Linked DNA regions of Arabidopsis thaliana. The protein of the gene in region 3 interacts with the protein of the main gene of each other region in a pairwise test. Each region holds a gene or a part of one and is shown on either strand. Other genes may lie near its edges. The genes, in order: CRK10, ABCG10 and ARA4.

Region 1 (11,559 bases), on a different chromosome or scaffold from region 3:
ACTGAAAACAACGCAGATTCCACATGTGAGGTATTATTTCACTTGAAAATGAAATGTGATGATCCATAGTTATGTAAGATTTGTGAGTCACTCAAAGTTATTTTTCATACAAACTCTTTATCATTTCTACATTGTAACATTGGTTTGTTGTATTGAAGATTTCTGATACGAATGGCTTCAAAATTTTATAAACATACCAATTCATGTATAGTAGTAACGCAAATGTTGTTATGCATGTAAAAAAGCTCTGTAAATTAGACGGATTCGGTTTGGCTTTACCGGTAGACGAATTTCTACGAATATTTACCCAAACCGGTTTATTTACTAAACCTATACCATATGAACCGGAAACCAAACGCTATTACCGACTTTTCTTCTTCACTCTCTTCGTCGGAATCAGCCTTTGCGCATTCTTCTGAGCTCGGATTTAGGGTTTAGCATTCTGGTTCTAATGGCGTTTAATGATATTGATTATCGGATTTGTTTGTGCTCTTTTGTTAGATTTTGATGTGTTTAATGGCATAATCACGATTTAGCTAAGGGCTCCGGGCCAACTGCGTTTTCCGGTGGGAAATGTAATCCGTCTCCGATGCTTATTTGGGGTAAGAGAGCAAACATGGGATAATACTGCATCAATTTGATAGACCTCTATCACTAATCTGTTGTGTCCTTATTTATAAGCTTTGGTAAATATGTGTGTTCATGATTTGATGATTAAATTATGTACAGCCAGCTTTGGAGGTCGAGCCAGTCTGCAAACAGGCCCACTTCCCAAACTATCAATGATGTAACCATTACAGATCTGGAACCTCGTTGAAGATAATTGAAACAGTCAGAAGCCATGTTTAGGTGTTTTATCTGTTTGTAGACTGGCTCGAAGTTATAAACAAACTCTATCAATGTCTACACTGTAATATCAGCCCTTTGTTATGAAATATTTTGCATTCTATTTGGACTCAATTGTTGCTGTTGTTACTCACACTAGTGGTTCGTTGCTACTCTGTTTCAGCCAATTACGACATGTTCTTCTGGTTTCGGCGTGATTCATATGTACGCATTCTTACATGACTCAACCCAAGAGACACTGATTAGGCTATAAATTGAGACGAACAGAACACAACGAAAAAAGGTATGCTAATCTTCTGTTTTTTTCTTTTAGGCTTTTACAATGCTTTGATTGCCAAATGTATATGTATAGTCTGGGAATGTGCTGAGCAGCCTATGACAAAAGCCGGTTTATTTGTGAAATTAATGACACTGACACTTTAGCCCAATACTTTTCTTGTTCCTCTCCATCTGCCTCTGCGTCACTGGGTTTGATTCTATGAATACTTTATCCTTTATGTCATTATCTGAGTCAACATTCCAATCAATATTCAACAACCCCCTTATTATATAATGTGAACAAAGAAAATATTATTGACTTTTAGCTTTTGACATTGACTTTGACTTTTGACACTCGTTTTCGTGACCATATTTGTAGGTTTCAGGACCACTGTCATCAATTTGACGAATTCAATATTTGAAAATTTTGGAGAGAAGCTTCGATTTTGCTTGTTTAAACTGGTAAGAAACGTACAGATGCGTCAAACACTAAACACAAAGATCTAGCTTTTGCTTTAATCTTCAAGAAACAATGAAGCAGAGGAGTTTGTTTTCAGTCCTCTGTTTTTTCTTCATAAGTTTTGGTGTTGCTTCAGTTTCAGCACAAACATGCACGACGGACAAGGGGACTTTCAGACCCAACGGTACTTACGACGTAAATCGCCGTCTCATCCTCTCTTCTCTTCCTTCAAATGTCACGGACCAAGACGGCTTATACTACAACGGTTCCATAGGACAACAACCGAACCGTGTCTACGCAATAGGGATGTGCATCCCAGGATCAACTTCAGAAGACTGTTCTGATTGTATCAAGAAAGAGTCTGAATTTTTTTTAAAGAATTGTCCTAACCAAACAGAGGCGTATTCATGGCCAGGTGAGCCAACGCTTTGCTATGTGCGCTACTCCAACACTTCTTTCTCAGGATCTGCTGATCTGAACCCGCGAAATTGGCTCACCAACACTGGAGACCTAGACTCAAATCTAACAGAGTTTACGAAAATATGGGAAGGATTAATGGGTCGTATGATTTCTGCAGCTTCCACAGCAAAAAGCACACCTTCTTCAAGTGATAACCATTACTCAGCTGATTCAGCAGTCTTGACACCTCTCCTGAATATATATGCATTGATGCAATGCACGCCGGATCTTTCCTCCGGTGATTGTGAAAACTGTCTGCGACAAAGCGCAATTGACTATCAGTCGTGCTGTAGCCAGAAGCGAGGAGGTGTTGTTATGCGGCCAAGCTGCTTTTTGCGGTGGGATTTGTATACATATTCTAACGCTTTTGATAATCTTACGGTGGCTTCTCCTCCTCCAGAACCTCCTGTGACTGTGCCACAACCTGCAGGTGATCAGGACAACCCGACCAACAATGGTTAGTCTTCCACCTGAGAAAACTATCATTGTAACAAAAAAACTTAAATATATGACATTGTTTTTCTATGTGTTGTGAGAAGATAGCAAAGGAATCTCAGCTGGAGTTGTTGTGGCGATCACCGTTCCCACTGTTATTGCCATCTTGATACTGCTGGTTTTAGGATTTGTTCTTTTCCGGAGAAGAAAATCCTACCAAAGAACTAAGACTGAATGTTAGTTTCTTTGTGTTTTACCTCTTTATTGTTTCCTTTCGTTATCAGCATGTATACTCCCGTAGCCAAGACGGGAAACACGAAACTAATACACCCATTCTTTGCAGCTGAAAGTGATATTTCAACTACAGATTCATTGGTATACGATTTTAAGACAATTGAAGCCGCAACTAACAAGTTTTCAACAAGTAATAAGCTTGGTGAAGGTGGATTCGGTGCGGTTTACAAGGTAACAAGGTCTCTGTTTTCCATTTTTTCTAAGTTCATATTGGTTTATGGAAATAACCAACAATGTTTGTTTCATTCATTGTACGTAGGGTAAGCTTTCTAACGGAACTGATGTAGCTGTGAAGCGACTGTCGAAAAAGTCAGGACAAGGCACAAGGGAGTTCAGGAACGAGGCTGTTCTTGTGACAAAACTTCAACATAGGAATCTGGTTAGACTTCTTGGATTCTGTTTGGAAAGAGAGGAACAGATTCTGATCTATGAATTTGTCCACAACAAAAGCCTTGACTACTTTCTTTTCGGTATGGTTCCTGTCAATAATTTTTCTTATTCAAAGGATCCTGCTTCAGCTTTATACTGATTGATTGTCGATATGTGCAGACCCGGAAAAGCAAAGTCAGCTAGACTGGACCCGGCGATACAAGATCATTGGAGGAATTGCTCGAGGGATTCTATATCTTCATCAAGATTCACGGCTCAAAATCATACATCGTGACCTCAAAGCCAGCAACATTCTCTTAGATGCAGACATGAACCCAAAAATTGCAGATTTTGGATTGGCAACTATTTTTGGAGTGGAGCAAACTCAAGGAAACACGAACAGAATTGCTGGAACCTAGTAAGTTCTGCTCGTAGTAGCTGAACACTAAACCATTTTCTATTGCATATTAACCCGTGTTGTATGTTTTTCAGCGCTTACATGTCTCCCGAGTATGCGATGCATGGTCAATACTCCATGAAATCTGACATTTATAGCTTTGGAGTCTTAGTTCTTGAGATTATAAGCGGCAAGAAAAACAGCGGCGTCTACCAGATGGATGAAACTAGTACTGCAGGAAACTTGGTCACTTATGTGAGCATAAAGTCCTCAACTTTCAACAATTTAACATTTTAAAACATATGACCAAGGTACTTAATTGTTCATTGTATTAGGCTTCGAGGCTTTGGAGAAACAAGTCACCATTAGAGCTGGTGGATCCAACTTTTGGAAGGAATTATCAGAGTAATGAAGTCACTAGGTGCATCCATATCGCGCTGTTATGTGTTCAAGAAAATCCAGAAGACCGTCCAATGTTATCAACAATCATCTTAATGCTGACTAGTAACACAATTACTCTACCAGTGCCTCGCCTACCGGGATTTTTCCCACGAAGCAGGCAACTGAAACTGGTATCTGAAGGATCAGAGTCTGATCAGTATACAAGCAAGTCTTCCTCATTTAGTTCGTAAAAATTGATGTGGTTCCTCATCATAGCTTAAAAGTTGTAACAGAAAAATGGTCAGATGACATTTATATTATTTGTCCACGGACATAAGAAACATAGCAGGTTTATCTGTAATTGTATGTTGTACAGTGTCCACTGTAAAATGCTTATGAACAGTTCACAGTTCTTTAAGAATCGTTTCTCGATTACTGGTTTTACTCTCTTCATGCTGAATCAAATTACCTGCTAGATCGTTGTGTAAGCTTAATTTGGAGGGAAAAGTCACTGTTACGTCTTCATGGAGAAACGTGTAAATGGTATATATCTTATACTTGCTTGTGGTTACAATTACAATACAAACATTCTATAACAAAAGAAGTTTTTAACTTATTTTCAACACCAATAGATTCAGGAATCAGGTATGAAGGGAAAAACTCATCATCATCGAGGATGTATATCTGTGATGGATGCATCGTCAACAGACCCTAGAAGAGATTTGCTCGTTGTATCTGTATCAAGCGGGTCTTTTCCAATTCTACTCTGAAAGAAAAGACCGGGTTGCCGTGGCACGGGTAAAGTCACAGTGTTACTAGTGAGCATCAGAACAATGGTTGACAACGTCGGACGCTCAGCAGGATCTTCTTGAACACATAAAAGACCGATATGGACACATCGAACAACTTCATTCCTTTGGCAATTTTCTACAATAGCTGGATCCACGAGTTCTAATGGTCGCCCGTTACTCCAAAGCCCCCAAGCCTAGAATATTATTCAATCAATCAACACTTGCAACTATGTTCAGGTAAATATGGAACTTGATAGGTTTAAAACTTACATATGAGACCAAGTCATGTGCACCATCTGTTTGGTAGAAGCTGCTATTCTTCTTGCCACTTATAATCTCAAGAACTAACACTCCGAAGCTATAGACATCAGATTTCATTGAGTACTGACCATGCATTGCATACTCGGGAGACATGTAACCACTGTAACCCACAACAAAAACTATGTTAACCAAAGGATGTTCAGAAAACTTCAACTTATAAACCCACAACAAAAACTATGTTAACAAAAGAATGTTCAGAAAACTTCAACTTATGAGAAGTTATGAGGAAGACTTACTAGGTACCAACTATTCTGCTTGTGTTCTCTTCGGTTTGGTCCAATCCAAAGATCCTAGCCATTCCAAAATCTGCAATTTTAGGATTCATATCCGCGTCCAAGAGAATGTTACTGGCTTTGAGGTCACGGTGTATGATTGTGAGTCGTGAGTCTTGATGAAGATACAGAATCCCTCGAGCAACTCCACCGATAATCTTGTATCGTCGAGTCCAATCCAGCTGGCCTTTCTTTGCAGGGTCTGTCCACATCCATAAATCACAATGAGATCTCTAAACATTCGTAACCCCAAGTATCAAGAATCATTGAAACAAAGCATTAAATGCAACTAACCAAAGAGGAAGTAATCAAGACTTTTGTTGGGCACATACTCGTAGACCAGTACTCTTTCTTCTCCGTCTAGACAAAACCCAAGAAGTCTAACCAGATTTCTATGTTGTAGCTTTGCAACAAGAACAACCTCGTTCTTGAACTCTACTTCACCTTGTCCTGATGACTTTGATAGTCGCTTCACCGCAACTTCAGTCCCATCCGATAAAGTACCCTGTTGTTTTCATCAGCATCATCCCATTATCCAAAAGTGTTGGCTTAAAATTTCAAGAAAAAAAAAACACAGCTCAAGGGAACTATAATTTACCTTGTAAACCTCACCAAATCCACCTTGACCAATCTTATTACTCTCTACAAAATCATCTGTTGCAGTTTGAATTGTTCTATAATCAAGCTGTAGTGAGTCTGCTGTTGTGATATCATCTCCTGTTACACAATGAAAGTCTTTGAAGCAGGAAAAACAAGCTGAGCATTGACATTAAAGATCGTTTATCACTTGAAATCTTTACCAGCAAATGCAGATGGTGTGTAATAACTCTTCCTTGCCCTTCTTGTAAGGAAACAATAACCAGCTATAAAAAGCAGAACAGCCACTATAATAGGCACAACAATGGCTATCACTAACACCTTTGAATTCCCATCTTTTCCTGCATTTCAAAGATTATTTGCTTAAAAATCAGATAGAAGAAAACTCTCTATATTGGTTTTGCCAATTTCAAGAAATCAGGGCAAAAAAAAAAAACAGAGGAAAAAAACAGAGCTCTGACCAGATCGCGGAGGAGCTGAAACTGGAGGAGTAGAAATTGACGGTGGTGGTGGTGGTGGTGGAACGGCGGATTCGGTGTAAAACGCGTAGATCTCGTATCTTGAAGTACAGCTCGGATTAATAATTCTTGCACCAATTCTGTCAGTAGGTATTTGATTGATGACCAGTTGGAGACAACGCGAACAGTCTTGTCTCGTGAGATCAGGTGTGCACTGAACCAGTCCATAGAAACTCTGCAACGCAGTAAAATTGTTTTTTCTCGTACCGAATTTTTTGGAACTGTTCAAGGCTACGGTGGCGGCTTGGTTCAGAGTAGGCAAAACCAAATCACTTAACAGGTCTAGTTGGTTAGATGTCACATTCCGGGTGTTAACCAAGATAACTCCACCGGTGGTTATTAGTGTCGAGAGAATATTCTGGTTAGAGTATCTAAGTACACACTCATCGTAATAAAGTGTGGCTTCTTTCTGGTTAGGACACCGAGTTAAGGTGTCGTTGACGGCAAAGGAGACGCATCTACGGCAAACTTCCGTTGAGACATCTCCACGGCAGTTGAAAAGTCCGGTGACTCTGTCTGGAGCTTGGCCGACGGTGGCGTTTTGGAATCCGGTGGAGTAGGAAGCGTTGCGGGAAGAAAGAGAAGCCAAAAGGGTCTTGAGATTGTTGTTGTAAGTGCTGTTACTTGTGTAATTTGCCGTATTTTGACAGGTGTGGTATACGTAAGTGGGATCTTGAGCAGAAACTCTGAAACTCGTGAGAAAGGAGAAGAGGAAAAGGAAGAAGAAAGAGGAGTAATAAGACATAATTGGGCTTTCTTGATCTGTGTTTCTTCTCATCAAGCTTTGAGTGATATATGAAACAAATTTGATTGTTTGTTCTCTCTCAGTGACTACCGTAGATAACGTTTTGTGCTGACGAAAAGTCAAGGTCAAGGTCAACGCGTCTCGTATTAAATTGTCGGGTCTTGTCCAACTTCTTGTGTTTAGCTACTAATCCATTACTTATTTTTTTAATATATGAAATATAGAAAAAAATTACGGAAAATATAAAATCATTTTAAAATGAAGAAAATTATCAAAACTGTCAAAATTTAAAACATAATAACTCTAAATTCAAGCTTTGAACTCTAAAGTCTTTTTTTTTTTTGATCAAAAAAAAGGTAGTTGGGATTTTCAAGAGAAAATAAATGTAGCAGTTGGCATGATTTCAAAGATCTTAATTACTAGTAATAGAATTTAGATATACATGAGAGAAACTAGCTAGCAGTAGAATTTGTTTCGTACTTTTCCTTGAACAGAATTGTTGAAATTAGGAATCTTTGTTGACTATTCTTCAAAGAATCATTCTGGGGCTGAAAAAATTGTCGCCACTGATGCGAAGAAATTATTGGTTGATAATAGGTTTTTGTTTTAAGCACGATAATTTATTAATTTGTATATCGTATATGCTAGTATGGTTATTGTGATGTAGTGATACTAAAATAGTATTACCAAATCATCTGCCTATCGTTATCTGATATTGTTAGTTACTAATTATTCTATTACTTTTTATAGTCTTACTCGCGAGAAGTTAAATAACTTGATATTCCACATGACGTCGTTCCATATAATGGTTCCATCATAAGTCCTTTCGTGTTTTCACCCGGATATGAATCTACAGCATATAAGTTTTAATATTTAAAGTTAATATCGGAATATATAAACATGAATTTGCTATATGAATGTGAAATATTTTGACATCATCCGAATACAATGTGTTTTAAAACGAATTTTGCATCCATAAGCTCCATCTAGCTAGTTGCAAAGGTGAGAAATATTTCCTTTTTGGTTCTCAGCTTCTCATGACTATTCCAAAACGAGAAAAAAGGCAATCAAAATTTTTAAAGGCATTCACATATACATAAGGAAAGAGAAAATAAAACCGAGAAGTATTTTATGTTTGATGTATCTCCGATCCTAGTAAAGGCCCAAGATATTGATGCAAGGTATATGAGACCTAGCTCAGCCGTGATTTCTCCGTGAAGAAGACTCAGCTTTGTTAATAATTGAATGAGGCGGTGTATGATGCCAAAACCCTAGTTCGTTCTATTTGATTTTAATGATATTATTCAAAACCCTAGTTTTTAAAAAGTAACTAATTTTTTTTCGTTACTGCCAAGGAAAAACAATCGGCTTTTCATGCAACAAATCTCGTTAAAATTGGTTATGGGCCTGCATGTGAAAATGGAGCCAGAACCAGAAGAGGACTTGGTCAATGCATCGAGAACATTTGCGTAATATTCTTTTTTTTTTCTTTTTTAGTAGTTTTTAATCATCAGCGTAATCTAAGACTCCGACCAAGTCTTACACAAAACAAAAAGAAGAGAAGCTGAGAAATCTGACAAGGAATTAGAAAATGAAAAAGAAAGTTTTTTTCCATTAGTAATAACAGAGGAAAAACTTATGCTTCTGTTGGTTCTCCCTTGCATCTCGCTTTCCTTAGCTCATTTTTACTGTTACGGTGTTACGCACAACTAGAATAATCACTTGGAACACTCAGAATGTTGCAGCGGGCCAGTTCAACGATCAGACGAAGTAAACATCAAGATAGCAAGAGCAACCACTATCGACGACGAATTCAGTTTGTGAGGAAGAGCGTTGGTGTAGCTTGAGACACGTTTCAATCACGTGTAGCTAAAAATATCTAGATAATTGTAATAGAAAATAAATTAAATATTTTATGTATTAATTGGTTTAGTATGAGAAAAGCCAAAACATTGACCAAGTCTAAGATTAAGAAAGCTAGATGAGCAATTCACTATCAAAGACGAGAAGACTGAAGTAAAGACAAAATAAGAAGACTCATTAGCTGCTTCACAATCCTTATCTCTTTGATTGTAAGAAACTGAGTTACTTTATTTCGATGATACCAATTTTAAACGCAGAGAAAAAGCAACACGTCAATTTGTAAAGCAGAGCAAAACGAATTACAACTTGGCCAAAACTTCGACGTAAAAAGCAGCACATCAATTTGCTCTGCTTGGCGACGGTGGTGGTGGTGGAGATGGTGTTCCAATGGTAGTTTCGTTGTAGAACGAGTAAAGCTCGTACCTTGAATTACAACTTGGCCAAAACTGTCTTGCTCCAATTCTAGAAAGTGGCATTCTATTGATGGATCTTGTCAGACATCTCAAACAGTCTTGACTTGTAAGATCAGGAGTGCATTGAACAAGCCCGTACAAAGTCTGGAGTTCGGTCAATTCGGTCTTTATCGTAGAGAATTTTCTAGAACTGTTGGCTGCTTCCATGGCAGCTTGGTTCATATTAGATTGCACCAAAACTATAAACTGGTTTATTTGACTTTGATTAGGAGAAATAGTGTTGGTGTTACTCAAGATAAATTCTCCTTCGTTTGTAATGGCCGTCGATAGAATATTCTTGTCAGAGTATCTGAGTATACACTCCTCGTAATAGAACACAGCTTCTCTCTGACTTGGACACCTAGTTAACGCTTCGTCAACGGAGAAGGCAACGCAGTTACTGCAAACTTCCGGCGAGAGGTCTCCGCGGCAGAGGAAAAGTCCGGTGACCAGGTCGGGGGTTTGTCCCACCGTGACGTTCTGGAATCCGGTGGAGTAAGAGGCGTTGCGGGAAGCAAAAGAGGACAAAAGGGTTCTGAGATTGGTGGAGTAAGTGCTGAATCTTGAGTAAGTTGTCGTATTTGGACAATAATGATTTAAGTAAAAAGGATCTTGAGCGGAAGCTTTGAAGCTAGTGAGGAATGAGAAAAGGAAAAGGAAGATAAAAGAGATCAGAGAAGACATGGTGTTTTTTTCGACTTCGTTGATTTGAGTTTCACATCATGCAGCTTCCATTTATTAACGTGAATAGTTTGTGACGACCATAAGTCATCAATCAAAGTCAATGTAAACGATTTTTTTTTATGTCATTCCTTTTTATTAACAACAAAAGTCAAATTATTGGAAAAGGCCTTGTTGAAATAACCTATTTTGTTTTATGAATAAGATTACAAGCAACTGATATCTCGACAATAATTTAGTGAAACTAAACTTTTTGAGTAAGAAAATTAATTAGGGCTACAAACTGAATAAACTAGGGTTGTGAAATTATTGTTTTAACTTATAACTGTTCGTTTGTTACTTGTCTGGTAAGGAACTTTAACTGTGCTGTCTTTTTGACCCAAAGTCTCGGCGCCAAGCGGAATAATCATCAACCTCACTTCAATAATATTCAATTCCAACCCATATTTTTCTCGGAAATAGATTGATAGACGTCAAAACATAGAAAATTTATAAATCTATTTTCTCTGGTTGTCACTTCCACGTGTTTTAGTCTAACATTTGAATAACAATAAAAGTTGATGTTCATCATATAGGTGACTTTGACTTTCAAAAAATTGTATTAGTTAGTTAGTTTATAACAAAGTAAGAAAAGAAAAAACTTTGACGTGCTAGATGGTTTCACATTTCATTTATTTTACTACTTTTACAAATCATGTAAATCACCTTCCCACATTACTCTGTTTTCCCTCTGTTCCCAAATCAGAAGGTACAAGATCATTGGAGGTATTGCTAAAGCGATTATATATCTTCATCATTCACGACTCTCAATCAGACATTGTGACTTCAAAGCAGGTAATATCCTCATAGACGCTGAAATGAAATCCAAAGTTACAGATTTTGGATTGGCCAAATTTTTAGAATGGACCAAACTTTAATGCCAATTGCCAACATTCTAAGTGTTCTCTCCATTTCTCATTTCTCTCCATATCTAATTATTCTTTAATAAAAAATCAAAACAAAGTACACATATGGTTTTAACAAACCAAATCAAAACTAAACAATTTATTGGGTTGATCACACCTAGAAATATGAAAATATATGCTTAAACTTCATTACAACCGTGAAGGTAAACATCATATTTAGCGCGGATATAAATCAGTGATCAATTCATCGTCAATAGATGCTGGAGTAGACTTGGTCGTGGTAGACTGATCTGAATCAGTCGGGTCCTTTACGGGACTACTTTGAATGAAAAACCCTGGTTGCCGAGGCACTGGTAAGGTCACAGTATTACTAGTGAGCATCATGAAAACGGTTGATATTGTCGGACGCTTTGCAGGATCTTCTTGAACACATAAAAGACCGATATGGATGCATCGAACCACTTCGCTATTCTGGCAGTTATTTGCTATAAGTGGATCCACGAGGTCTAATGCTG
Region 2 (10,137 bases), on a different chromosome or scaffold from region 3:
GTTTATAGTAGTAAAGAGAGAGAACCTCTAAAACAAAGGTGTACTTTACTTTGAAATAGGGTAAATTGTAATTTAAGGTATTAATAAAGATTAGGCCCATTCACGGCCCATTAGTGTTCTTCATCTTCCTTATCTGTTTCTCCCGCTCTCTCTCTCTCTCTCTCTCTCTCTCTCTCTCTTCGTGTCTGCGCACTCTTCTTCTTCTTCTTCAATGGCTTTCGCGTTTGAGAAACCATAAAAGGAAACTTTTCAGAGTTTTCTCTTGTCTCCTGTTCGTCTCCGTGCCGTGTATGTCACTAAATTTGTGAGTGCTTCTGCATTCTCAAACTCTTATCTCTTGTGATTTGAAATCATCTCTGAAATCAAGGATTTATAAAAATCTATTTCTAATTTGATGAAAATTATGTAGAAATTCATTGATTTATCGTTCAGGTACTGGTTGTTTGATTTTATTTGACCTATTTTGATTTCGATTTGGTCAAATACTGTTTTTGCAGAGGTTTATCAATGGAGATGAAATGCACATTTCAATCAACTCGTGCTCCATTCCAATGCGCTTGGTGGTTCCCAAATTCAATCTATTGGACTCTCAAAGAACCAATCGTTTTGAGAATACCTAATTCACTTGCTTCTTTGAGGTCTATCAGACACTTGGAGTTGAAATCTGTAGGTTCATTGTACAATGTGTTTGAGATTCATAGGAAAGAAGTCAATTCAAGTCTTTTGGAAGTGAAAGCTATGAACAAAGATACTGAAGCTGATAGTGATAGTGATAGGAAGATTAAAGAAGAGGAAAGGAGAAGGAAGATTGGATTAGCTAATAAAGGAAAGGTGCCATGGAACAAAGGAAGGAAACACAGTGAAGGTAGAAGGATCTTTTCTTCGATTTTCTACATTGTTTCTTCTTTGAGGCTTTGTGTAGTGAGATTGTTGATACTCTTTAACAGACACTCGAAGACGAATCAAGCAGAGAACAATCGAAGCTTTGACAAATCCCAAGGTGAAGTCAAGTAAGATTCAATGCAAATTCAGGGACATTTTGTTGTTGTCCCATCTTCTATTGTTTACAGTGAGAAGTGAAGGAAGAAAACTTATTTGGCAAAGAACTTTTTCTTCTCTTCAATATCTTGCAGGTTCGGAAGAAGATGTCCGATCATCAACAACCACACAGGTAGATTTGTAAAGTATTGAGTGTAGAATAGAGAACAATGAAGCTAGAGCCATATCTAAGCTAAGTTTGTCTCTTGCAGTAATGAAACCAAGGAGAAGATAAGAGCTTCAGTGAAACAAGTTTGGGCAGAACGGTCAAGATCGAAGCGATTAAAGGAGAAGTTCATGTCATCGTGGTCAGAAAACATTGCAGAAGCTGCAAGGAAAGGAGGAAGTGGCGAGGCAGAACTTGACTGGGACAGCTATGAAAAAATAAAACAAGATTTTTCATCTGAGCAGCTTCAGTTAGCTGAAGAGAAAGCAAGAGCTAAGGAACAAACCAAGATGATAGCAAAAGAAGCTGCAAAAGCCAGGACCGAGAAGATGAGGAGAGCTGCAGAAAAAAAGAAAGAACGTGAGGAGAAAGACCGACGAGAAGGAAAGATTCGAAAGCCAAAGCAGGAAAGGGAGAATCCAACCATTGCTTCACGTTCTAAACTAAAGAAGAGACTAACAAAGGTATAAAAAAACTACTCCGTTGATGACTCTGAAGAATATTAGAAACCCACTTGATGATTCTTTGGTTTGATTAAATGTCTTGTCAGATTCACAAGAAGAAAACAAGTCTTGGTAAGATCGCAATTGGAACGGATAGGGTTGTTTCAGTTGCAGCTAAACTGGAGAAACTGGATTTGGATTTGATAAGGAAAGAGCGAACAAGAGGAGATATCTCACTTGCTGATCAGATCCAAGCTGCTAAGAACCAACGAGGAAGTGATGTTTTATCGAGATTTGGTCTTTTTGCCATGAAATCGATGGATTTTGATTAACTCTTTTCTACTCCTAGTTTATAGCTTTCTCTTTTTTTCTTGTGCCACTAAATAAATAAACAAGGTTGACTTGAGGATATAATAAATAAATAGATTGACGAGTGCTGGCTACAATAACTCATGCAGAACTTATTAGACTAAAACTCTCAGTCTCTCTCTCACAAAGCAGAGTGACAAACTGAAGAACACTGACCACAAAATGGTATCCGCTCCTATACATGAAAACACAAGACGGTTTAACTCTGGTTCCTATTGGGTGGGTAAGGCTGTTGCTGCATTCCACCACCCTGACCTTGTTGTTGGTATCCACCGTTCTGCTGGTAGTTTCCAGACCATCCTCCATTCATGTTCGGTGGTGGTGGTCCCTCGTAATTCTGACTCATGTTTGGTGGCGGCAGTGAAGGTCCCCTGTAGTTCTGGCCCATGTTCGACGGTGGAGGTCCCTGATAGCTCTGGTTCATGTTTGGCGGTGGAGGTCCCTGATAGCTCTGGTTCATGTTTGGCGGTGGTGGTCCCTGGTAGTTCTGACCCATGTTTGATGGTGGAGGTCCCTGATAGTTCTGGTTCATGTTTGGTGCTGGTGGTCCCTGATAGTTCTGGTTCATGTTTGGTGGTGGAGGAGGACCTCTGTAGTTCTGGTTCATGTTAGGTGGTTGTATATGAGGAGGCATGTTTGGGTTGTTGCCTATGTGAGGCGGTGGAGGTGGAGCACCTCCCATACCTTGGTTTGGTGGTGGACGTCTGTAACCCGTGTCTTGGTTTCCCCTATCGTTCCTGCCTCCATCCGAGTTGCGAGGCCTGCGAGGGCGTCTGTTTTCATTAGTTGCATTAGCATTGTTTCTTATCCATTCTTCATGATACTTTGGGTCATAAGGAACAGCCTTTCCATCAATGAAAGGTTCTCCTGAAACAATCAAATTTCAGAAAACCCATCAAAAACTAATTACTACTCTCTGACAAGATCAAATCTTAGTGTCCCTTACAACAATGTATATTGTGACTAGAAAGCACAATCATCAGAGTTAAACAACATACCTCCATAGTCTTTATTCTTCCCATCCAAGTAGGAATCAGGAAGAACCCACTTAACCTTAGGCAACTCTGGATTGTTCACATACAAAAGTATAAGAAATCAATGCTTATAATAAACTCAAGCTAAGCAAAAGAATTAACAAGCTTTAACCTTTGATCTTATGTGAAAGATCTTCTGAAACAAGAGCTCCAAAAGCAAAGTAGCATTTGTGCGACACAGAGTAAATCTTCATCCTTGCCTCCTCTTCACTAAAACGCAAAAATAAGATACACACTTAACAAAGTAAGACTCTAGAAACAGATCAAAGAACACTGTGGAAATGGATCTATATATATACCTGCCAACAACTTGAGCTAGGGTTTTGATGTAGTAATCAATAATCTCGTCTCTAGAGAGATTTCCATGACAACAAACCAATGCTCGAAATCACAACCATCAAGCAAAATCGTATCCTTTGGTGGCCGATTCGACCAGTTAGGGCTCGGATCATTCAGCGAAGCGGAAGTAACCTGCGTAGACATACACCTAGCTAGAGATACACCGGCACGGACCAACGCTGAGAATCCAGAAACGAGAGAACGTGAACGATTCAACAACGAAGACGCAGATCGAGAAACAGTAGGGGAATTGGCGAGAGGAGATGACGAAGAGAAGGAACGAGTGAACAGTGAGGAAAAGGATTTAGCTGGCCGGTGAAGGATGGAACGAGAAATCGCCATTGGAAGATGATAAAAATGGAGAGGTTTTAGTGAAAATGGAAAAACCCCAAGCATAAATGGGTTTAGATGGATCTTTCAAATTTCAAGGATATTATGTAAAACTAAAAATTGTAGTACATATCATTACTATTTTACATTATTTTCAAAATCGTCCCATTGTTATTTCAATTGACATGAGAAACCCATTTGTCACGAAATCATCATAAACAACCATATGTTGAATTCTTCTCTTTCGTCGAGGTTAGTAGAGAACATATCTGGTTGCTCAGTGGGAGTGACATTAAAAACGTCGTCTATGTATTGTAGATTAGGTATTTCAATGATACCTAGTTGAGGATCTCTCAAATAGCTTATAATCTTTGGTAGGACAAGATCCTCCATATTCGTATGCAAATGGACATTGGCAAAGTTATGTGGTAGCTCATATTCCCGTTCTGCTAAGGCCATCTTTTTGTGCTCTTCAGAGCAATACCGAGATTCAGGTGCGTAGACACATGTACAAGACCAGTACGCGAAGGCCTTATCTTTATGCACATAATGCATAACACGAAGATTGGCAACACCCATTGCAGAAACCTGCTAATACACATTGTTAGGTCTAGAGAAAAAAACTCTCTCTCGCAACTTTGAAGATTTTGTTTGCTCTTTGGATTGTCGAGATTGTTTCATTTCGTGTTTTTATATTATTTTTTACTTTTAGTTTTGGATTTGAATCTTAGGTTTAAAAAAGAAAAAGAAAAATTGTGATCAAAACGACATGGTTTGATTGAAGATGATGCTAATTCATTAAACATGGGTCATTTGAGTCGACGTATGTTAGTATTAACTAACATTTGTTATTGCAGATCCTAAAATACGTGCGACCTATAAAGTTTGGATATAATTTTTTTTTTTTTATGAATTTGGGTAAAGAATTAACATTGTACAGTATGTTTTATATAAGAAAACAATACTTTGCAAATTGTACTGGTATAAAAATATCGTTTTTCCAGTCACCCGCTTACGTTTGGTCCAAGTTGTTTTTAATTTTATACCGAATTAAAGTTTATTAGTCACAACTTTAAGTGTTTTTTCCAAACCCAAATCAAAATTCGATTTTTTTCGTCACAACTTTGAATCAGCCCCTTCACCTTTGCAGCCACATCTAACCGAATGCCCACCTAGACAACATCTTATAATGCGTCTTTTTATTATTATTATCCAAAAATAATTAAATTAGTGAGGTTTCTTACGTGATTATTCCTTGTTAATTAAACATCTGAATTTCCGTAAGCGAGTTCGAAACACGTAATTAAATATTGTAGGTAATATATAACAACCAAACTGGGTTTCCTCTCTTTCTTTGTTAGAAAAAACTAATAAATTAGATAAAACAAGTTCACCAACAAGGCAAACATTTCACGGTCAATTTTTCAGCTCACCCGAATTTGAGAATCTCTAGACGAAACCAAATCTCTTTCTAACTAATTCTTTTTTTGCTTTTCTTGTACCTCTTCACAATTTCAAAACCCAATTAAAAAAAAAAAAAAAAAAGAACCAACTACATATCTTAATTTCTTAGATATTTTTTTTGGTCAACCAATTTCATTAGAAATTAAAAAATACAAGAAAAACAACAAATGTTTAATTTCATATAAATTTATCTAACTGTATCAATATTATTTACGAACAAATTCTTTATTAAGAAAAACAAATTAAGCATTTTAAGCTTGGAATCATAAATATCTTTGGTTTAATTTAGTCATAGTCAAGTGCTTTTCGGTTTTCATGGAAGGCAATAAGAGAAAGCTAATAAAGTCTTGAAGCTTTTGAATGTTTGAATAATAAAGGAGAGGTTCCTTAAAGTTTGGTGTGTTAGTTCATCTTCTCTACCATTTATTCTTCACTTAATCTCACACTCTTTGCTCAATTTGTTGATTTCTCTATCTCTCAAAGTTTGATGCTTTCTTTTTCCTTCTTTCTTTCTTAGATGGAATTGCCGGTAAAAGCTCCTATTCCCGGTGGCCGGGAAATCTCATATAGATTAGAAACCAAGAATCTGTCGTATAGAATAGGCGGAAACACTCCAAAGTTTTCTAATTTATGTGGTTTGTTGAGTGAGAAGGAGGAAAAGGTTATCTTAAAGGATGTTTCTTGTGATGCAAGATCCGCGGAGATCACTGCGATCGCGGGTCCAAGCGGAGCAGGGAAAACCACGTTGCTGGAGATTCTAGCCGGAAAAGTTTCTCATGGGAAAGTTTCAGGGCAAGTGCTTGTCAACGGTAGGCCTATGGATGGTCCTGAGTACAGGAGGGTTTCAGGGTTTGTGCCACAAGAAGATGCTCTGTTTCCGTTTCTTACGGTGCAAGAAACACTGACGTACAGCGCACTCTTGAGGCTGAAGACAAAGAGGAAAGACGCGGCTGCAAAGGTGAAGAGGCTGATTCAAGAGCTTGGTCTAGAACATGTTGCGGATTCAAGGATCGGTCAAGGATCAAGATCTGGAATCTCTGGAGGAGAGAGAAGAAGGGTTTCTATTGGAGTTGAACTTGTTCATGATCCAAATGTTATATTGATCGATGAGCCAACCTCTGGTTTGGATTCTGCGTCCGCTCTTCAAGTTGTGACGCTTCTCAAAGATATGACGATTAAACAAGGTAAAACCATTGTTCTGACGATTCACCAGCCTGGTTTTCGCATACTCGAGCAGATAGACCGGATAGTGTTGCTCTCTAACGGGATGGTTGTTCAAAACGGATCAGTTTATAGCCTTCATCAGAAGATTAAGTTCTCCGGTCACCAGATTCCTAGGCGGGTAAATGTCTTGGAGTATGCAATTGATATTGCAGGGAGTCTTGAACCGATCAGAACCCAGAGTTGCAGAGAAATCTCATGTTATGGTCATAGCAAAACATGGAAGAGTTGCTATATTAGTGCAGGAGGAGAGCTTCATCAATCTGATTCTCACAGCAACTCAGTGTTAGAGGAAGTGCAGATACTCGGGCAAAGATCTTGCAAGAACATCTTCAGAACCAAGCAATTGTTCACAACCAGAGCCTTACAAGCTTCCATTGCCGGTCTTATACTGGGGTCGATTTACTTGAACGTAGGAAATCAAAAGAAAGAAGCGAAAGTCTTGCGAACCGGGTTCTTCGCCTTTATCCTCACTTTCCTGCTATCTTCCACAACAGAGGGACTTCCAATTTTCTTGCAAGACAGGAGAATCCTAATGAGAGAGACATCGAGAAGGGCTTACAGAGTTTTGTCTTACGTTTTAGCAGATACTCTCATATTCATTCCCTTCTTGTTGATCATAAGCATGCTCTTTGCTACGCCGGTTTATTGGCTGGTCGGTCTCAGAAGAGAGCTAGACGGCTTCCTCTACTTCTCATTGGTGATATGGATTGTTCTTCTGATGTCAAACTCTTTTGTCGCATGTTTCAGTGCTCTTGTCCCAAACTTCATAATGGGGACATCAGTAATCTCAGGTCTCATGGGATCTTTCTTCCTCTTCTCCGGGTATTTCATTGCAAAGGACAGGATCCCCGTTTACTGGGAGTTCATGCATTATCTCAGCCTCTTCAAGTATCCATTCGAATGCCTGATGATCAACGAGTATCGAGGAGACGTGTTCTTAAAACAACAAGACCTCAAAGAGTCTCAGAAATGGAGCAATCTTGGTATCATGGCAAGTTTCATCGTCGGGTACAGAGTCCTTGGATTCTTCATCTTATGGTACAGATGTTACAGAACAAGAAGCTAGGTTAATAACAATGATCTGCAGATATAATTCAATTTGTTTTGTAATTTTATAAGAAATTTTACTTTCTCATATTCTTTCTTTTTGTTCAGCACTTTCTTATATTCTAAAATTCGCAATGTAAAGTAACAAAAAAACTTTCTGATAAAAACAGAGTAAACTCGTTTATTTATAAGACAGTTTTAAGCATCACACTTAGTACAAAGCTCACCACAACAACGGTACACTCATTGATCGTTTGATACTAAAGCCTTTTTCTTATTAAAGTCACTCTTACCTAAGATACTCATGAGTTTACACAAGTGTTGCCTTTGAGAGCTGAAGTCCTTTCTCGCGCCCGTAAAACTTCTCTACAATTGCAAGTGCAAACTCCAATGAGGTTCCTGGACCCCTGCTCGTTATGAGATTGCCGTCCACCAAGACTCGATGCTCGATGTGACTCTGGTCCGTCAGTTTGCTGCACATTGCTGGAAACGCTGTTGCCTTCTTACCCTGTAAAAAAATCCATTAAAAATTGTGACCCTTCCCTTAGTTTTAAGTGCAAAAATAACGGTTTGATAACAGAATACTCCATGCCATCGGATATATAGTAATGATCCTACACATCTAAGCAAATGTGTGTGCTATTGTGATTACTCTCGTACCTTGAGTAAACCATGTGGCTCAAACACCAGAGCAGGAGAGGCACAAATTGCTCCATATGGTTTGTTTGATTCCGCCTGCTTCTTTAACATATTCACTAGCTTCTCCGAACTTGCAAATGCTTCAGCACCGCCGAGACCACCCTGATAATAAAAAGAGAAGTTCATCATGTTGGCCTCAACTTGCTTGACACTATAAACTTTAGTAATTTGAAGAAGTTAGCACTCACAGGCAACACAATCAGATCGTACGAATTCTTTTCAGCCTCGTCGAGAAGCACATCTGCCACCAGCTTGACTTTCCGAGATGCTACCACTTCCAAACTGTTACCAAGCGCAGCTACGACAACATTTGCTTTTGCCCGCTTCAGGACATCAATGATAGCAACAGCTTCCATTTCCTCCGAGCCATCTGCAATGGGTACAAGAATCTGAAAAGGAAAAACATGATCTCTCAGTGTACGGAAGATTGATTAAGAAAGACGCATGAGCTCAGTAAAGCAAGTGTGAAAAGTTTTGCCAGTCTTTTTTTTCTTTTCATTTTGCCAGACAGGCAATTGAAAGCTACCTGTGGGGTACCCTCGAATGACCAGCTGACTTGGTTAAGCTCAGTAATAGTATACTCATCACCAGGGTTGGGACGCATCACCTGATATGCAAAGGGGAAGAATAGAGACTAAGAGGTTACCATGGAATAAAGCCTATGCTACCAAGGAATGGTTGTTTCTTTGTGGAAACCTAAATTTTTCAGTGTCCTATATAGCTTTCAACTGTCTGTAATCTCACAAGAACAGTCACTGATCAGTGGACAGGGGAAATAATGCTGAAAAATTCAGCCACAGGCCTAGGCTTCAAGGAAATCACAGTATTAGTGAGGTCGAAAACACGTATTTGTATTTTTTTACATGAACTAACAATACTAGGGTGCTTTAAAGAGTGTTAAATCAAATAAGTGCTCCCCTCGAATCAGCTACTAAATATATCCTTCTTTGCGGAGAGCCATCTTCTCAACAGAAACTGGCCTCTAAGATCTGTCGATTATTTGGAGACCAAATTAAGGTTGATAGAAGAGTCAGGGATAAGACATACCAAGGGGCCAGAGACTTCAACAGCTTTCTCTTTCCCAAGAAGTTGCTCCACAAGCGTGACAGAGAATTCCATGGTAGTTCCAGGCCCTCTACTGGTCACTATCTTCCCATCAATTTCCACTCTTGACTCAACAGCTGTCGCACAAGCCGCTAGTTTCTCCATAAAAACCGGGTAACATGTAGCCTGCAAGCAACGTATGTGATTTATACACCAAAATACAAACTCAAAAGAAAAGAAAACTTCTTGGATACTGATCACTCACTACACACATACTTTTTTACCCTCTAGTAGTCCCCAAGTACCAAACGCCAACGCCGGCGCACAACAGATAGCAGCGTTAAGTCGTCCATCAGTGTCTTGCTTCTTCACCATCTTCTCTAAAGGTTTACAATTCTTAAGAGTCTCACCACCAGGAAGTCCTCCCTTAACCAATCACATCACCAAAACAAATATGAAATCAATACATCTAATTGAGAAACTATTTCGATACCAAATGGATTCAGATTGGCAGAGAGAGACGTACAGGGAGCATAATAAGGTCGAAAACCGAGTCGGTGATATCAGAGAGAAGAGTATCAGCGACCATTTTGATTCCATGGCAAGCATCAACGCCGACCTGATTCTCAACGGAAGCCACCGTAACATCCGCTCCGCCTCGCCGTAGCACATCGATCATAACCACCGCTTCAAACGGCTCCGTACCATGAGCAACAGGAATCAAAACCTAAAGAAAACTCAGATTTATCAAGAGAAATTTACAGGATCGATAGGGATAAGAACGAAATCGATGAGAACGATGTACCTTCTTAGTAGATGAAGACATAGTTGCAGAGATAGAGAAGGATCGTCGATTTACACGAAGAGAGATTCGTCTCGGAGAATAGTGATGGAGTTTTTTAGTGTTAAAAAAGGGAGTGACAGTGATTTTGTTAAAATA
Region 3 (9,752 bases):
TTCATACTATAATATTAACATATGAAGAAAGCATAAGACACTTTATACGATTCTTAGAATATCTCAATGTGATTATGTGAATAAGACAGACAAAACAATTGTTAAATAATAAATACCAAACGCGTATTAACATAATGAAGTGACATTAACATGATTGTTACTTTAAACATCTTATATTAAATTTGATAGCGTAGTGAGGTTTATGCATTTTAAACGTATTTGTTACTATTAATAAGTATAATTATGTTATCATTTACAGACCATTTTATAACTAAGATTAAAACGTATTCGAGGCAGATTGGAATTTATCTCAAATAACTATGTGAACTCTTTTATCTATAGGTTATACAATTAAATAACATCAATTACAATTTCTGTTATTTTGGTTCGACATTATGATTTAACTATAGTGGCCGCAATGAATATACTGACAACATTGCTTCAACTGCCACATCTATTCGAAATTAATAACCAAAACTGAAAATTGAAATAAATATTCTTATCGTTTTGTTTAGATAAATTTGCGGGCCATCGAATTAAAGAGCAGTTGGAAAATATCAAAATTGATTTAACAATCATAAGTTTACAAAAGTTACAAATGAGAACATAACTTATACACTAACCAAACTTTTTCTGTATGCGTAACAAAGAAACTCAAAACATCTTTCTCTCTTCTTCTTTTACTTTAACTGAGAACTATAAGAATATATCTCTGCCTTTCTATAAGTTTACCAGGAACACAATTCAACCCGAAACCAATCCTCAGGACAAAGAGAAACCGTTACAAAGATGTTACCTCGAACAGCAAGAGAATGTCTTTGTCCCTTCGTTCTCGTTCTTAACCAAGCTAACACGATTCACAGTCAGCTCCTCTTTGTAAGAATCAGAGTTCAATTGCTTTCGACTAATGTTGCTATAGATCTCCCGAATAACCATCTCGAAAGCCGTCTTTACATTGGTCGAGTCCAACGCAGAGGTCTCCATGAAAAACAAACCTTCAGACTCAGCAAGACTCTTGCCTTCCTCAACACTCACCGCTCTTATGCTCTCGAGATCACATTTGTTCCCAATAAGCATTTTTGCTACTGTTGTATCAGAATGAGCTGCACCAAAGATTCATCATTACTGTCAAACTAACTCTAAACTCAACCTATCACAATTTCAAGCTCAATAGAGTAAAGATGCAAACATGAATCAACTAATCATTGCATATCTTCATCATTCAGTTTCATGATAATCATAAACCTAAAGAAGTAGATAAATTTGACTTGACTTTGAATCAAAGTCTTAAGAAGTCATCATAAATCTTCAGATCTAAAAATTCTAACCAGCAGCATCACTATCGCTATGATTCAATCCTAATCCAAATCCAATCTCTACTCTATTCAAAATCAAAACTCAGATTTACAGATCTCACTTCAAATTGAATAAATTCACTCAAAAATCGGAGATCGAAACACATACTGTTGAGCTCATCGAGCCAGCGACCGACGTTTTCGAAAGTGGAGCTACGAGTGATATCGTAGACGACGAGGGCTCCAACGGCGCCACGGTAATAAGCAGATGTAACGGCGCGGAAGCGTTCCTGACCGGCGGTATCCCAAATCTGAGCTTTGACCTCTTTGCCGTCGATGAGCATGCTCTGAGTCTGAAACTCGACGCCGATAGTGGCTTTGGAATTGGGATTGAACTCGTTACGGGCGTAGCGAGTGAGGAGATTGGATTTGCCGACGGCGGAATCACCGATGATAACAATCTTGAAGAGGTACTCTTCGCCTCTCTCGTCGTCGTCTGACATTTCTCCTTCTTCTTCTTCTCTGTAACGCCTTTGTTGGAGAAAGAGAGCTTTGTTTGGATTTTATTAGGTTGTTTGTGAGCGCAATTAATGAGTATTATTTTGCGCATGAAATTAATTCCATCATAATTAACCAAAATTCATATTATGATTTATTTCTATTTTAATTTATTAATTATGTATTTTTTTATAAGAATCTTTTCTAAATTGATGAAATAAACTTCTTCAAAGAGTACACATTTTTTTTGTGTGTGTGTGTAATTTACAACTTCTAAAATAATTGGTAACCAAGTGGATTTTCCATATGAGTTTTCAAAAGAAAAAATAAATTGGTCTGAGTACATTTATTTCCTTGAAATAATGAATTTGGTTCAATTAAGGTTTTATTTTATATACATTTGTTGAAAACAACTATGATCCTCCTGATGTTTTTCTGAGATTTTTATTCACAGATCAAAATTCAAAACGTAGGATTATATTCACACACACAAACGCGCATCTCTTTCAATCTCAAATAATGGGTTTTGCTCTAAGCTAAAATTAACCAACTTTGAGGAAAACAGGAAAAAAAAAATCGATTGATCGAATTTTAAGTTATAATAAAGGTCAAGACTTTCAGAGAGTAACAAAACCAGCCTTCATTAATCCATCATCACTTTCTTTAGACCTCCAAAATAACTCCTTTTTGCTATGTTTCTTTCTGTCTTAGAATTTGGTTCGTAAGTGATCTCCTTTTCTTCTATACTTTATTGCATCATACTTGGAACAATATCATTCATCATCGCTTCTTGCATGCCCCACAAGTACATCTCTCCATTCCCTTTTCCAGTGACTGCACATATATAAGAGATAATTTTAAAAAATCATATTAATTTCTCCATATGCATACTTAGCTTGAATAAGACATTGAGACCTAGACATGTGAATAAACGGGACATCAGAATCTAACCGATCAAACATGACGTAGACCAAGTGTATGATAAATATATAGTATATAATGTATAACCATCTATTATGCATGATTCTTAACTTAGATTCTTAGAAGAGTCTACTGTTAACGACTTAACGTATTCTATTACGAAAGTTTTTAACAAAATTTAAGATGCATGTATGATCAGTTTTATTTCAACTGGGTGAAAATGATATAAATGAACATAACGAAAACATTTTCATGAGACCAACGCAAAAACCCTTTTGTTAAGAGATCATGAGAATGTAATATTTTAATTTCACGTGCATGACATTTTGATATGTCATGAAATTTTCTGGAAGAAAAAAAACACGTCCGAGTAAATGGTTGATCCATGGTTATGATCATATTGGACAATAACTAACCATTATATTAATATAACTATTTTCTAAAATACTAAAATTTGGCTTTAAGGTAACATTTTCCCAACATAGAAGGAATATGATCACCCTTTGCTTCAATTTGAGAAAATGTCACTTTTGCATATATAGATTCATTTTGTATCTAAGGACGCACCTCTACTTGGTGCTGAAGACCTTTGATATGCTCAACAGCCAAATCCAACATATCTGCGTAGCTCGTTTGCTGCCAAATTTTTCAAACTTATTATAGATATGTAAAACCACACCAACATTACATTAAAAACAGAAATAATATCACTTACCTTGTCCATATTAGGCACAAGTTCTTGTAGCTTCTTCAGCTTCCCGCTTATCCTCGTTCTTCTCTCCTATATACCACAAACACGCAAACCAAATCATATATAAAACCTAATTTTTACTCTTGTTTTCTTTGGTTTCAAATGAATTCACCTTTTAAGTTTGTATCTAGACTTATGCAATAGTAATCACCATAATAATAGAATAAACTAACCCTTTCAGCAATGCTGCGTGGGTGAGTCGCGAAGCCGCGCTTGGCTCTAGCCCTACAAGGCACCGAGTCCTCTGGGATGTTCATCAAGTTCTCCATTGTCGCCATTTCCAGAGTTGTTTGCGGCATGCTATACTAAAAGTCAAAACCATATATATTGAGATGAAAATCAATGTATAACCACTCAATGAATATCATAACCAAACCAACATCAGTGAGAATGTTTACACAAAAATCATTTGGTAGCAAAGGGCTTGTGAAAAATATACATAAATTAATCATAACCCTTCTCTAAGCTATTTATATCTATTACACAACCACTCAACTCTGGCTTCTACACACAGAAATTTGGCTATTTGCACTTTATTGGCATTTATTTCAACTTGGAATTCTGTTGTGGATATGGAATTTAAATTGGGCTTGTAGAATTCATATTGTATATGACGCGCACTATATAATAACACTTGTTAGCATACAACTTGTGGACCATACATATAATTAAACACACAAATCATTTAATTGCCAAGGACTTGTGAAAAGTTATAAACCTTCTCCAAGCAGTTTATACACATGAACCTGTGACATAGACATTGCTGTTGGCAATATTTCAACATGGAATTCTATTGCTAACTTTATGGAAGTTAATTAAACTGATATAAAATTTCATACGATATGATAATATACTTTCTTAGTATCAAGTTGTCAACCTATTATAGATCAATCATAAACCTTCTCCAAGCCTATAGAAACTAATAATACACAAAACAACTAACATTGGGGATATTCACTCTTTTCTCCCTTTACCTAGAAGAATCCGAGATTTATTAACTTTGTTGTATAAAAAAATAATCTAAAAGTATTGATACACATACATAAATAACCTCAAATTAAAGTTATAGAAAATACCTGAGTTTCTAAGGTGAAAAAGTCGGAGTTCTTGGACCGTTTTCCGGGTTGATCAATGGTGAAACTGATATGAGAAGACGAGTTGTCCCAATTGTTAGTACGATTATTTCCAAAACTCATACTACTTGATGCGACACCGTTTCTAGCCGCTGCAGCCGCTTCAACCTCCGAGATTCGCGGTAGAGAATTATGTTCTTGATGGCTACTACTCCCACTAGAGAATCTCAGCTCCGACTTCAACCTCGACGGCCCTTGCTCTCCTCCTCCGCCGTAGCCTCCGTTTGGCCGTCCTAGAGAAAAACCTGTTCCTTCTTCCATCAACAAATTTAGATTGAAAGAGAAAGAAAGAATGTAATGTAGGTTTATAACTTGTTATCTCAGTATTTTAATAACCAGTTTGATTTTAAAAATCTTTAGTACAAAATAAGAAGAGAATGGGTCGTCTTCGAAACTCGAGGACCCCTTCCTTTGTCTCTAGTCTCTCTACTTATATATATTTTAATTATCGCCAATTTGGTAGAGAATAAGGATTCCTGAAAAAGAATCTTAGAAATATTCACCATTCGAATTCCAATTACTATCATATACTATACAAAGTAGTATGTATATAATAATGCAAGAGGGGGTAAAATTTCTTGGGGCTCGCACATGGATTACAGGGAATGTGAACCGGACATATGCAATGAACCGAAGATCAAATTGCACAAAAATAATATAAATTATTACTTGCAACTAACACTATAGTAATAAAGCTTATTATATATAATGACAAGTAGGCGTATCCAAAAATCAAAATAGTGACCATGATCAAGCCATGTCAGCAGGGGTAGGCCATCATGGCTGCTTTGTCAGAAGAAAAAGAGCAAGTGGGATGGATATATTATTTCCAAGTGGACTATACTTTTATTTCTTTTTGTAACGATTCGTTTTTTAACATATACTTTTGGCAAGTGTGTGTTTTATATTGCATTATTAAAATAAACAACTTGCCACTATTGGAAATACGTATTTGATTATTCATGCATGTATATATACGTGTGTACACATGTATACATATGACTAAGATCAACCATGGTTAATCTCTTCAGACATAAGCTGAAAGAGAAAGGTGTGTATAAGATCTAGAGATAGATTAAGTATTGACTAAAGCAAATAGATATATTTTGAGAACTACATGTGTATTAGGTTTTCAATTACGTGGTTGATACTTATTGGTCTTTAATTAAAACAAAACAAAAGTCGTATGGAGGGAAACCAAACAAATTCCAACCTATAGACAAATTACTTAAGTCATCGAAACAAAACCAAGACTACATGGTTTAGATTACAGTAAGTCAAAACTTACGTGCTACACCAATTTACTTGCCGACTTTATCGATGTAAAATAACATATTCATTTTTTAAAATGTTTTCGAATACTAATATGGAATTTTAATTTTGTTTTTTTTTCTATACCAAATTTGTCTAACTTATAGGAAACATATATTTATTAAATGTTGTAACAAATTTTTTAATGTGCAAAAAAAGTTGAACACTTAAAAAAAAAATTCTTGATATGTGTATAATTGTATAATATGTAAATTATGTCGACTAGATTCAGCACTAATTAAATCCAATTAATTAGGAGGAGAACTCTTTGGTGGGGTGAAAAAAAAGTTGGAAAAATAAAGAAACGAAAAAGTTACCGTTGGGATCAGTGGGAAGATGTTGGTCGTAGAATCCAGCCGGAGAGCTTCTGTGTCGGAACAAAGAAGACGAAGAAGAAGCGTTGGAATCGAATCCGATGGAAGATGGCTCGCCCGGTAAATAATGGCCGACGAGGTTGGGATTCTGCTGATGCTGCTGCTGCCGCTGCGGTGGCGGATGATGGTGGGTTTGAGGGCCAAGAGAGGAGAAATCACGGGTAGCTCCAGCGGCTGAGTCATATTGATTGGTGTCGGCATCGCCGCCGCCGTCATGAGCGGTGGACTTAGAGGAATTAGGAGGGTACATGAAACCGGAAAAGAAAAACCCTACAAAAGCTAATCTGATGCTTAGGAAAAAATCTTGAGGAGAGGGTTTGAGAGAAAGAGACTTTGAGTAGTTATTAATTAATACTATATGATAATGCAAGAGGGTTACTAATTATAGTTAGGACTGTTAAATTAAATTAATTAAACTAAGGGTGACAAATTAGAGCGATGGCTTGTCCTTGTGCCTTGTGGGTGCTTGACCAAGAGAGAGTCTCCTACTCACGGTCCCGTCAACGCACGTGCACCTCACGTGGTTGACAGATGGTGGCTTGACGTTATTTGCGAATTTTTCTTATAACTTAGCATCATTTTTCTTATAAGATATTTCGTTTTATTAGGTTAATCTTAATTCTATCAAAAATTCAATTTTAAATGGAGTTATTATTATGTATGACGGTATCGATATAATGATTCCGGGCATATTCATTGATAAACTTTACAGCCTAAAATGCCAATTTTATATTCTCATAAGAGAGAAGCAAATATCAAAATGATGATGGACTGTACAAATGTTAGTGAATACATTTACAGAGAATCGAAGCCTTCATTATTTTTTGGGTGATGAAATTAACATGGATATTAGTTTAGTTATCGTCAAGTGGGTCATTAAGATTCCATTTTGTATTAATATGGGAATCAAATTGTTATTTAACTTTGTACTTTATTATGGATACTTATAGTTTATTCTGATTTTAAAAGTCTATTTCATTGTTCATGTTTTCGACCACCCATATGATCCAAGAGAAAGGCAGACCATGACAAAACATCCATTTTACATTTATACGTTTAGTTGATTTTATAATAAAAATACACATGCACTTTTTATTAAATTAAACCATGGTGAACGTCCATTGATTAGGATATAGACCTTGTATTTGTTTTTAAACAGTTGATTTAGATTCCACATTTATGTTTAAGATGGGCAAAGATCCCATTTGTTCCATGATGAGGATCTTTATGTGACTTTGTTGCTGATTACTATATGTCTATATCTATACTATTGTTTCATCATTTCTAGGGTTATGTTGAGGAGTATGAACATATTACTTTAACGTTTTAAATTTTGCTAACGGATCACGTAAGTCTGTTGCGACAAGACATTACAAGCAAGACATGTAAGTATATTATTCTTACTTTTAGGTTGTAGAATTTCTACTTCATACAGAAATATTTAACTAGTTCTTTTGATTGTAGGATGGAGTTCTTCTTTTTGGGCGGAAACAAATAGATATCGTAACTCCACTGCAATATTTGATTTCAATCTTCACCGCATCTATCTCTCCGTCAACTCCTCGTCTTTCTCCTTCCATCGTTTTCATCAAATCTAAAGAATCAAAAATTGGGTACTTGATTTCTTTTACTTGGGCCATCGACTAAACTTTTATTTGGGCTTTTATGCCTGTATTGGGCTATTTAGCCGATCAGGCCTTAAAAGCTTGTAACATATATTTTCTTATCCTTTTTCAATAGAATAACGGTTATATATATATATAAAAAAAAAAAGAGTACAGAGTTGGCCCATTTGAATCAATATGGACTATCTATTTTGATTTTTCAGGTCCATGTTCAAATATCTTTTACCCATGTGTTTTTTTACCTGTGAAATTTGCTATTATTATTATCAATTTAAATGAAACAGAGAAGACAACAAATTATATCTTTTTTTGCCGGCCAACAAATTTTTATCTAGAGACTAGAGAGGCGAGTTAGTTGCCGATCAATCTATTTATTTCTATCTTTCTCAATTTTAGAAAATTCGGTTGGTCATGTAATACGATTTTCTGTCTCTTTTTGGCGAAAGCTGCAAAAGAAAGTGTGTCAAGAATAACATACTTACATGTCTTGCTTGTATACATGTAAGTATATTATTCTTACAAAAGACATGTAAGTATACAAGAATAAACATTCTCTAGTATATAAAAGAATAACCAAACTAACCGGATTGAAAATTTTAGATAAACTTTGTCTCTTCCTTGTATAAATTGGTTTTAACCTTTCTTAGCAAAAAAATAAATTGGTTAACCTAACTATATTTTATTATTTTCTTGATTTTTAGTTGTTTATGTAGAGTGTGTATATGCAACAACTAACTAATTAAGAGATATCATTGGTTATTTGATCGAATCACTTTCACTTCATGACAGCTAGGTGGTTCCAAGTACGAAATTCCAAATGTGGATGTGTGCTCAGCGATTTTCTTACGTATACACAGTTATTGATTTTTTTTGCGTTGTGTAAATATAGGTATTTAATGACTATAAATTTTTGTATGGTATATGCTTGAAAAAAAATTTAATAAAGGATTTTTAATATGTTTTCAAGACCAAAAATTAGTGATGATGCGATGAGTGGAAATTGACTCGTTACATTAATTTTGGTTTCGGTTTTAGTATTTCAGTGCAGTTTTGATTAGAAAAATGCTCTGGTCATGGCAACTAAAGGTTGTCTAACTTTCAACGGGGTTAACAACCCTACATGAATCAGACCGATCATGATTTTCTTAAAACAGTTTATGACTCAGTTAAAATCATACAAAATTTCAAATTTACCAACCACCAATATTAAACTTCTTAACAACAAAAAAAAACCTATTATGTATTCTCAAGTTCTATGCTTAAAAATCTTGCTATTTTAAAAAATAATAGACGATAAAAATGTGAGAAATAGTTAGAATATACTGTATTAAAACCACAATAAAAGTGAAGTTAATAGCTCACATAAATTAAATGTCGTTGATTTACTTTTTTTCAGTCAAATTCCAAGATATATCTTAAAGTATTTACATAAAGTAAGAAATATGCAATATTTTGTTCTTATAGATACATAAGACTAAGAAAGCTACAACCACTAATATTATTAAAATCGCTTGTAAATGAGATTTGGGAAGTATTTTACTTAGTCATAATTAATAAAGCTTCTATAACATTGCACTAGAAGTCTATAAAGATAATTAACTTTAGCCCTAGAAAGGAAGCCTCTAATCTCTTTTTCACGCCATTTTCGGGCATAGCCACCACCAAGGAGATATTGGTACTCTTGTAATTAATAAGAATTCTAACATCTTTACACTATATACAAAAAAAATATGTCACTGATTTTTGTTTCAGTTGCCTTTATTTATAGTTTTGGCTTGCAGCAGTTGATACGAAAATTATGATCACTACAATATGTGGTTAATATATAGTCATTGTGATATGAA

What was found.
Region 1: the proteins of ARA4 (region 3) and CRK10 interact in a protein complementation assay, tested with the Arabidopsis thaliana proteins (one large-scale study listed by BioGRID).
Region 2: the proteins of ARA4 (region 3) and ABCG10 interact in a protein complementation assay, tested with the Arabidopsis thaliana proteins (one large-scale study listed by BioGRID).

The regions. Positions count from the first base shown.
Region 1 is NC_003075.7:12,133,788-12,145,346, reverse strand, and holds CRK10 (cysteine-rich RLK (RECEPTOR-like protein kinase) 10), read right to left. Parts: upstream 7,353-11,559; 5' UTR 7,177-7,352; coding exon 6,342-7,176; intron 6,222-6,341; coding exon 6,084-6,221; intron 6,001-6,083; coding exon 5,882-6,000; intron 5,789-5,881; coding exon 5,578-5,788; intron 5,486-5,577; coding exon 5,248-5,485; coding exon of another isoform or gene 5,247-5,247; exon of another isoform or gene 5,116-5,246; intron 5,112-5,115; coding exon 4,961-5,111; coding exon of another isoform or gene 4,901-4,960; exon of another isoform or gene 4,885-4,900; coding exon 4,567-4,884; 3' UTR 4,425-4,566; downstream 1-4,424. Other genes in the region: CRK11 (cysteine-rich RLK (RECEPTOR-like protein kinase) 11), read left to right, coding at 1,637-2,480, 2,563-2,694, 2,802-2,923, 3,012-3,222, 3,302-3,539, 3,614-3,773, 3,854-4,150; EP1 (receptor-like protein kinase-related family protein), read right to left, coding at 9,345-10,142.
Region 2 is NC_003070.9:19,857,178-19,867,314, forward strand, and holds ABCG10 (ABC-2 type transporter family protein), read left to right. Parts: upstream 1-5,643; 5' UTR 5,644-5,700; coding exon 5,701-7,473; downstream 7,474-10,137. Other genes in the region: AT1G53250 (histone-lysine N-methyltransferase, H3 lysine-79 specific-like protein), read left to right, coding at 291-304, 498-865, 948-1,000, 1,134-1,171, 1,251-1,668, 1,755-1,979; AT1G53260 (uncharacterized protein), read right to left, coding at 2,216-2,883, 3,015-3,080, 3,163-3,244; AT1G53265 (uncharacterized protein), read right to left, coding at 3,921-4,298; DJ1B (Class I glutamine amidotransferase-like superfamily protein), read right to left, coding at 7,765-7,962, 8,115-8,255, 8,342-8,542, 8,680-8,760, 9,201-9,383, 9,474-9,623, 9,724-9,924, 10,003-10,137.
Region 3 is NC_003071.7:17,929,107-17,938,858, forward strand, and holds ARA4 (P-loop containing nucleoside triphosphate hydrolases superfamily protein), read right to left. Parts: upstream 1,922-9,752; 5' UTR 1,799-1,921; coding exon 1,465-1,798; intron 1,104-1,464; coding exon 793-1,103; 3' UTR 501-792; downstream 1-500. Other genes in the region: AT2G43140 (basic helix-loop-helix (bHLH) DNA-binding superfamily protein), read right to left, coding at 2,574-2,627, 3,282-3,350, 3,430-3,495, 3,639-3,770, 4,542-4,843, 6,227-6,533. UniProt on the Arabidopsis thaliana protein: Intracellular vesicle trafficking and protein transport. Binds GTP and GDP and possesses intrinsic GTPase activity.